Linked DNA regions of Mus musculus. The protein of the gene in region 1 purifies or fractionates together with the protein of each later gene. This does not show direct contact. Links are inferred from orthologs where the notes say so. Each region holds a gene or a part of one and is shown on either strand. Other genes may lie near its edges. The genes, in order: Pld1 and Arf1.

What was found.
Region 2: the proteins of Pld1 (region 1) and Arf1 purify together in Homo sapiens (affinity purification with western blotting; 3 studies listed by BioGRID, with this or other methods). This does not show direct contact. The link is inferred for Mus musculus from reciprocal best matches to the Homo sapiens genes PLD1 and ARF1.

What each region holds. Positions count from the first base shown.
Region 1 is NC_000069.6:28,025,654-28,029,470, reverse strand, and holds part of Pld1 (phospholipase D1), read right to left. Parts: intron 876-3,817; coding exon 730-875; intron 305-729; coding exon 199-304; intron 1-198. UniProt on the Homo sapiens protein: Function as phospholipase selective for phosphatidylcholine. Implicated as a critical step in numerous cellular pathways, including signal transduction, membrane trafficking, and the regulation of mitosis.
Region 2 is NC_000077.6:59,210,975-59,214,791, forward strand, and holds the end of Arf1 (ADP-ribosylation factor 1), read right to left. Parts: intron 2,550-3,817; 5' UTR 2,514-2,549; coding exon 2,366-2,513; intron 2,280-2,365; coding exon 2,169-2,279; intron 1,972-2,168; coding exon 1,847-1,971; intron 1,722-1,846; coding exon 1,560-1,721; 3' UTR 438-1,559; downstream 1-437. UniProt on the Homo sapiens protein: Small GTPase involved in protein trafficking between different compartments. Modulates vesicle budding and uncoating within the Golgi complex. In its GTP-bound form, triggers the recruitment of coatomer proteins to the Golgi membrane.

The DNA.
Region 1 (3,817 bases):
AAGTGCTTCCCACACAAGCCTGAAGACTTGGGTTTGATCTTGGGAAGCTATAAAAATATGGAAGGAAAAAACTGATTCCACAAAGTGGTCTTCTGATCACTACACGTGCGCGCGCATGCGCACATGCACGTACACACACACACACACAGAAGAATAAGTGCAGTTAAACTTTCACAAAGCAGCAGAATAAAGACTCACCCTCCTGCCAAAGAACTGCTCTTCCTGGATTGCGTTTTCTGATGAACGGGGCAGACTGGGCATCTCTCGGGGTTCTTCTTTGACATTTTGTCTTCTAAATGTATGTCTAAAATACACACAAACACAATACAAAAAGCGATTAGACTATTCTTAAAGTATTTTATATTATCTTTCATGCCATGGTTTAGTATTGATATTTTAGTATTATATTATTTTATTTTTACAACATTCAGTATTATTTCAGTATTATAATTGATATTAGTAGTATATCCTGTCAATGTTTAAAACATTCTCATGTAGCCCAGGCTAGCCTCCAGCTCAAATATAGTCAAGACTAGCCTTGAACTCCTGATTCTCTCAAGTGCTGGGGATCACAGTTTGCTGTACACAGCAGCTGAGGTGGCTTATTTTTAAAAGAGCTATGCAATTGAAAATAGCTAACTAAAATGGGATTGGTAGCCTGTGAAACAAATGAAATGTGTCTTCCGTCCACATAACGGAGGTAAGTTTACGTCAGTTCTGCCGTGTTACCTTTTAGTGGGGATGGGGATCCGGATGAAGGCTTTGTACTTGAGCAGCTCTCTGTGAAACTCTTGGAAGTGCTTGAATTTCCTCTTAACTTGCCATGTGAATTCCCCGTGCGTTAACTCGATCGTGTACAGGTTGATACTTGGCACCTACGGTGACAGATGTTTAAAAAGAAAAGGTTTTATCTCAGATAGGGAAAGTTCTGAAATTTCCCCATAGCAAACATCAGCTAATTGCTAAGTAACATTCAAGTACTATCAGTCTATTTATTTTGTGTTGGTGTTTGGCATTTTAAAGATACGCTATCTTTAGTCATTTGCTTAGAACTTCATATACTGTGTTATGATCATACTCATCCTTGCCCCTCCCCCTCATTCCTCCTAAAACCAATTCCCACCCCCAACCTCCCCTCTTCTCCCTTCCTCATTTTTAAAAATAACCTACCCAGTCCAATTTGTGCTACCCATATACTCAAGTGACAGGGCACCCACAGGAGCATGGTGGATATACCAGAGGCTACCCACTCAAAGGAAGTTAGCTCCCTCTATCCCAGTAGCCATTCACTGACAGAAGTGTCTCTGCTAGGGAGCTGGCACTTGTGAACCATTGTAGGTAACACTTTTTTTAAAAAAGCAACCAAATATAGAGGTATTGCCTTAAATGTTCACATAATAAATTACATAAATAAACTTTGTATCATACAAACAAACTCTGTAAATCCTTTTTCTCTATGCATACGCATGCCCACACGCACTTGCACACTAGAAATGGAGGAAGCAGTTAGTGAGACCCTGACAAGCACTGAGAGCCCTGGTCACACATGGACAGCAAAGACACATTGCAGATGGAGAGGAGGCAGGAACAAGGGCCTATGGGACCACCTTCTTAGCCCTTTTTACCTAAACAAATGGCACAGAGCATGATATCATCCCTTCATTAAAAAAAATGGAAGAAAAGAAAATCCAAGGTCTAGCCTTGTCTACACAAGCCCCTGCATGAGGCACCTGCCAGGGTTCAAGGACACAGGGAAGACTGCTGCCCAGCTGAGTATAGGGTGTATAACAGGATTGTGATCTTGTCAGACTAATGTAAAGCACTTGTAGACCCAGTGTCTGAGGGTACAGAAACCACGAGGTTCAGTTTCCTGTTCAAGATTTCAAAGCAAAGACACAAACTCAGCCCTGCAGTTCAGCTCCAGAGTCTGTGCATTTAAGCCCTATGCAGTATACCTTGCCCTCTAAAAGATGCCAGGCAGAATAAGGGGCAAAGGGACATCTTAGAGACGTGGCTCATCACAGAAGTGTGAGCCTAACGCTGTAGGGAAAGCCTACAGCTGAGCTCAAGCAACCAAAAGCTCTGCAGTGAATAAACCCCATGTGGAGACATGGGTTTCTAATCTCAGCACTCCTGAGGTGGAGTTCAAGGTCAGCCTCAGCTACATAGCAATAATATGTCCAAAATGTAGGGGCTAATTGGGGCTACATGAGACCATCTCTGAAAAGGGGAAGGGCAGGGGAGACAGAGACAGGGGGAGAAGGAAAGAAAAGAGTCCAGAGCACAGGCAGACAGGCAGACACCAGTGTGGACACCAGGGTGGTGTAAACTGAGTACAGCAAAATCGAAACCACAGCTGCCCGGCAGCCTCCAAGATACTGAGGGTGGGGGATGGGAGGCTGGGAAGTGGGGGGGGGGGTCAACTGACTGCTGACCAAAGGTTATGATTCTGGGTGTGTGTGGAGGCAGAGGCCAATGGTAGCTAGTCCTGACTAGTTCTTAACCTGAAGTACAAAGGTCACCGTTCTCCAACTACTAGACCTGACTTGTATGAAATCCAAGCAGCAATAAGCAAACAACTACCCAGACTGTTTTTTGATCCAATGTGTTTCTGGGAGACCAGCTTCGCTCTGCAGAGATAGTTTATGCTAATTCTTTTTTTTCTTTTTTTTTCTTTTTTTCTTTTTTTTTTTTTTTTTTTTTGTATTCAGAAAGAACAGATAGGATGAAGTCTCAGAGGCCGGGGTGGAATTTAGGGACTGAAGGTAACACCCAGAGGACTAAAGATAGGCTGCAGGGGACTGGAGAGTGGGGTCTCAAGAACAAATCAGAGATAAAATTTGCCAGCAGCATTTTCTCTCAGCAGTGCACCTGAATATAGATCTCACGCACTTATAGATCACAATGTTGGGACATTTGTTTCCTTTTAAGAGATAAGTAGCATTCATATTTTCTTGCTGAAGACGTCTTAGGAAAAGTACAGCTTCTCTTGACTTATAAATGGCCTTCAGTTAGAATGGATGTGGAATGAAAAACAAATAAGCAGAAGAAATAAAAGGGAAGGGCATGACCACTCCTCGGTATGGGGAAGGGAAGGCTTGTTGTAGACATGGGAGAGAGCAGAGTCAAAGGCAGGGGCGTCTGGGAGAGCAGAGTGAAGTTGACTTTTATCTGGGCCATGTGAGGAGAAGAGGAGGGGAGAGGGCATAGCCAGGAGAGTAAAGGGGAGGGTAACCAGATGGCTGGATTATATAGGGAAGGGCTCTGGAGAAAGGAAGCAGAGCCTTGGGCTGGAGATGCTAGGATGGGGGTGAGAGGGATGGGCAATATGCCAATCATACCCTATAACAGGTAGGGACCGAGGGATGCTGGGAGAACCTGGCAGCCGGGTCCACCTTGATGTGTTAAATCGGCACCTCGGCCATTTGTCCTGGGTTTGAGACCTAACAGACAGATGCAAGCCAAAAGCCCAAGTGAAAGGGCTACGGGAGAGTTATTAAATTAATAGATTGCCTCGAATGATCTTTCTTGTGTGTTTCTTTCCATGTATTGACCTATTTTGTGCCCATGTGTCTGTGAGCACATGGGTGTCACAGCACTCAGGTGGAGCTCAGAGGAAAGTTGTCAGGAGTCAGTTCTCCTCCATCATCCCCCAGACCTGGCTTCAGAGATCAAACTAAGGTTCTCAGCCCTGGCAGCACCTACTGAACCACCTCACCAGCCCTTGACCACTGTCCAACATAAAACACAAGAAGCCTTGAGGCAGCATAGCGGCTCACACCTATTTCCTCAACCCTGGGGAGGCAGAGGAAGGAGG
Region 2 (3,817 bases), on another chromosome or scaffold:
AGTATAGAAAGTTCTGATTGTAAAAGCTATTGTGCTGTGAATGCATACTTCTGGGCAGACCCCAAAATGTCCTGAGACTCATGCTGTTGCTTCTATGAAGACCTGTGCCCTGCAGGTAGCCACCTAAGCATGAGAGAAGACTAATTATCTAAGACCTCAAGGGGGTGAAGGTCAGTCCACTTAGGCAGGGGCCTATTCGGAAGGATGATAAACTTTGGATCTTCTAGTGGTCACACCTACCCAGAGATAAGCACTCCAAGGCCAGCTGCCCCAGTCTGTCACAGAAAGGAAAGGAAAGAAGCACGTCAAGACATCCAGATCTTACCAGATTACACTAGGGCTTAAAGGGCACCTGTTTCCCTGTTTCCTATAGCATGAAAAGGGCTCTCAATCTCAGGAAGAAGCCTGGCAGTGGTGGCACTGACACACAAGCCCATCAAATAGTTAAGAGACTTTATTCTAACAGCTATAATTACAGTGCTTGTCGAAATGAAAACTGAAAACAAGTATACAAAACAGTTGATTACTAATTGTGTATTGAAAGCGGTAAGAGGTTCCACGACACCAAATAAACCAGTTCTGAGATTTCCCCAAGATAAATTTAACAGCTCCAGCTTCTTCAGTGTTTATCAAAATACAAAAGAAAAAAGTAGAGGTCGTCTTTCGATGGCAAATCGGACCCTTGCAGGCTGAGGGAGGAAGCTACTTCACACATGGAGATGGGGGTGCTCCAGGATGTGGGTCTGTAATGGACCGACCCTCCCACCTTGCACGCACTCCTGCTGGTGAGACCCAGGCCTCCTGCCAGCGCGTCCAAGTGGGCCCAAGAGTAGGCTGGGTATGCAGGCTGCCATTGGGCCTTGCACACACCAAGTACAAGCCAGGCCCTGCACCCCACAATGGCTCCCAGCCTACCCTAGGTAACCGTGTGAGCACAAGTACAAGCACAATGCTATGGAATGCAGGTGACCCAAAGACAGGCGAGTCACGGGGGCTCTACTGTGACCATGCAGCGGATGGTGGTTTGTTCATCACCTTCTCTCCTGTTCCCACAGCGAAACAGGTGATCTGATATCTAGCATTCAGGCCATTAACTGCAAAACCTACACTAGGCATAGTCTCCGTTCTGTGTGTTCAAGTGTTCTTGTCCTGTATTTTTAACTATTTTTAAAAAATGCACTGAGTTTGGGTTAAAAACCAACCACCAAATGGATACCGACACCAGTCTACAGCCCAATGGCTCCCGGAGGCCAGGTGCCCCTACACCCAAATCCCTTCTCAGTACTGACAGTTGAGTTGATTCTCTTTTTACAATAAAAAAGCTAAGTAATATTGCATAGGAGTACCAGAAACTGCCTCAGTGGAAACAGAAACTATTTACATTAAATAAAAACCTGGCTGCAGGCTGCGTCTGCACATGTACAGCACGGTGCGATGCACACTGTGACCAACCCATGGAGACAGCTTCTGGCACTCAGGACCACAGAGTCGCACGTTTGCCACATGAGAGGAAAGCTGAGGGCGGAGAAGAGGAAGTGAGGGGGAGGGAGGGGTCTGGTTCACTTCTGGTTCCGGAGCTGATTAGACAGCCAATCTAGTCCTTCATAGAGCCCGTCCCCGCTGGTGGCACAGGTGGCCTGAATGTACCAGTTCCTGTGGCGTAGAGAGTGCAGCCCCAGCTTGTCTGTGATTTCGGCCGCATTCATGGCATTGGGGAGGTCCTGAGGAAAAGGAAGAATTAGTGGCAGGGACCACAAACAGCCAATAACCCTGGGTAGCCTTTCACCCCTCCTCTTTCTTCCCTGATACAGGTTTTCCTTCAGGGAAGGACCTTGCTGGTGCCTACCTGCTTGTTGGCAAACACCAAGAGAACAGCATCTCGGAGCTCATCTTCAGCTAGCATCCTCATGAGCTCTTCACGGGCCTCGTTCACACGCTCTCTGTCATTGCTGTCCACTACGAAGATCAAGCCTGAAACATGGCCACATTAGTGCACATACTGAACACTCCCCACCAGACCCCACAGGTTCTAGATCCAGTCCTTCCACTGGCCGTGATGTTTGGTGTGGCTTCATGCCCTGAAATGGCAAAGACCACAAGGCTCAGTGAACCAACTGTATCCCTTTGAGGCAAATATGAGGAATCTAGGACAAGGACTGGCTGCTTACCTTGGGTGTTCTGGAAGTAGTGGCGCCACAGCGGCCGGATCTTGTCCTGGCCGCCCACATCCCACACGGTGAAGCTGATATTCTTGTATTCAACAGTCTCCACATTGAAACCTGGGGGGCAGGACTGCAGCTGAGGGCCTCTGTATTTTGGATCCCCACACCCAACCCCCACCCTGGCCCTGGGCCCAGCTTCTCACCAATGGTGGGAATGGTGGTCACAATTTCGCCCAGCTTAAGTTTGTATAGAATTGTTGTCTTCCCTGCAGCATCCAGGCCCACCATGAGAATGCGCATTTCTTTTTTGCCAAAAAGGCCCTTGAAGAGGTTTGCAAAGATATTCCCCATGTTTGTGGACAGGTGGAATCGATACTGGCCAAAGACCTGGGAAAGAAAAGTGGTTCAAGTACTGTTATGTGCTGCCAGTGTGGGCCCTGTGGCAGGTCAGAGACACCTATGTAGGAGTCCCCTGCCCTAAGCCATGTCCTCATATCCCTCCTGAAATTTCATGGGAGGATGGGAGACAATTCAATCCTAGGTCCCAGGTGGCAGCAAAGAACCCTGCCCCCTGCCCACCAGACTCCCTACGCTCACCAAGGTCACACATATCAGTTTAGGAAGACGCAGATACCACAACAACCCCTTGTCTCCCAAGTCTAATCACTTGTCAGAATGAAGGGACATCTAACTACAATCAAGTATGCTCACACTCGGGAGCTGGCACTAAAAAGAGTTTTGAGAGAAAGGGCCTTTTTTGGGGTTTGTTTTGGTTTTTGGTTTTTTAAGACAGGGTTTCTCTGTATAGCCCTGGCTGTCCTGGAACTCAGAAATCCACCTGCCTCTGCCTCCCAAGTGCTGGGATTAAAGGCATGCACCACCACTGCCTGGCTGACACAGGGCCTCTTAAAACCTAACAGAGCTCTTCACAAAATCAGAAAAAACCACCTTACATCTCTATTCTTACTTCAAAGTGTCAAAGTATCCACAATTTTCAACTAAAGAAATAGTCACACTCTATGCTCAACACTACAAGCCAAATGTTCTACCAGCCCCTGGTGACAGCGAGACTAGACAAGCCCATAAGAACTGTGATGCCATCTCTCCAGGCATTTCTGTCTGCCCAGGTCATGGGAGACAGATGTTAAGACAGTGTTCTATCTCAAGTCGCAAGAAGAAAGAGACTCAAACAGTAAACCATTGGCAGCACATTCCTATAAGAGGATGACAGGCAAATGTGAGCTGTGTCCCTGCAAGGGCCTATGCATACTTAGTAGGTAAGGCCCACTGGAAGAAAAGAAACGCTAGGCAATTTAGTTGGTACCAATGTACCAGGGCCTATCAAATGTTAAGAGCTTCTGGGAAGGATAGTAAGGTTTCCCTAGGTCTGGTCTCAACATCTGGTGGCCACTTTGATCTTCACTTCTCATCCAAATGGATTTACTGCTTGCTTTGTCAAATGCTCATTGTTAACTCTTAATAAGAAAAGCAAATAGAAGGCCACAGTGCCTTCAGAAAGAGTTGTCAATCCTAGGTATTATCCAAGGCTACTGACCCATAGGAAAAAGAATGACAAAGTTTCCCTATAAATTGTCTCGTAGTGCTACCTTAACAGAACATCATACAGTGGGCAACTTGGCAACAACAGATACAGT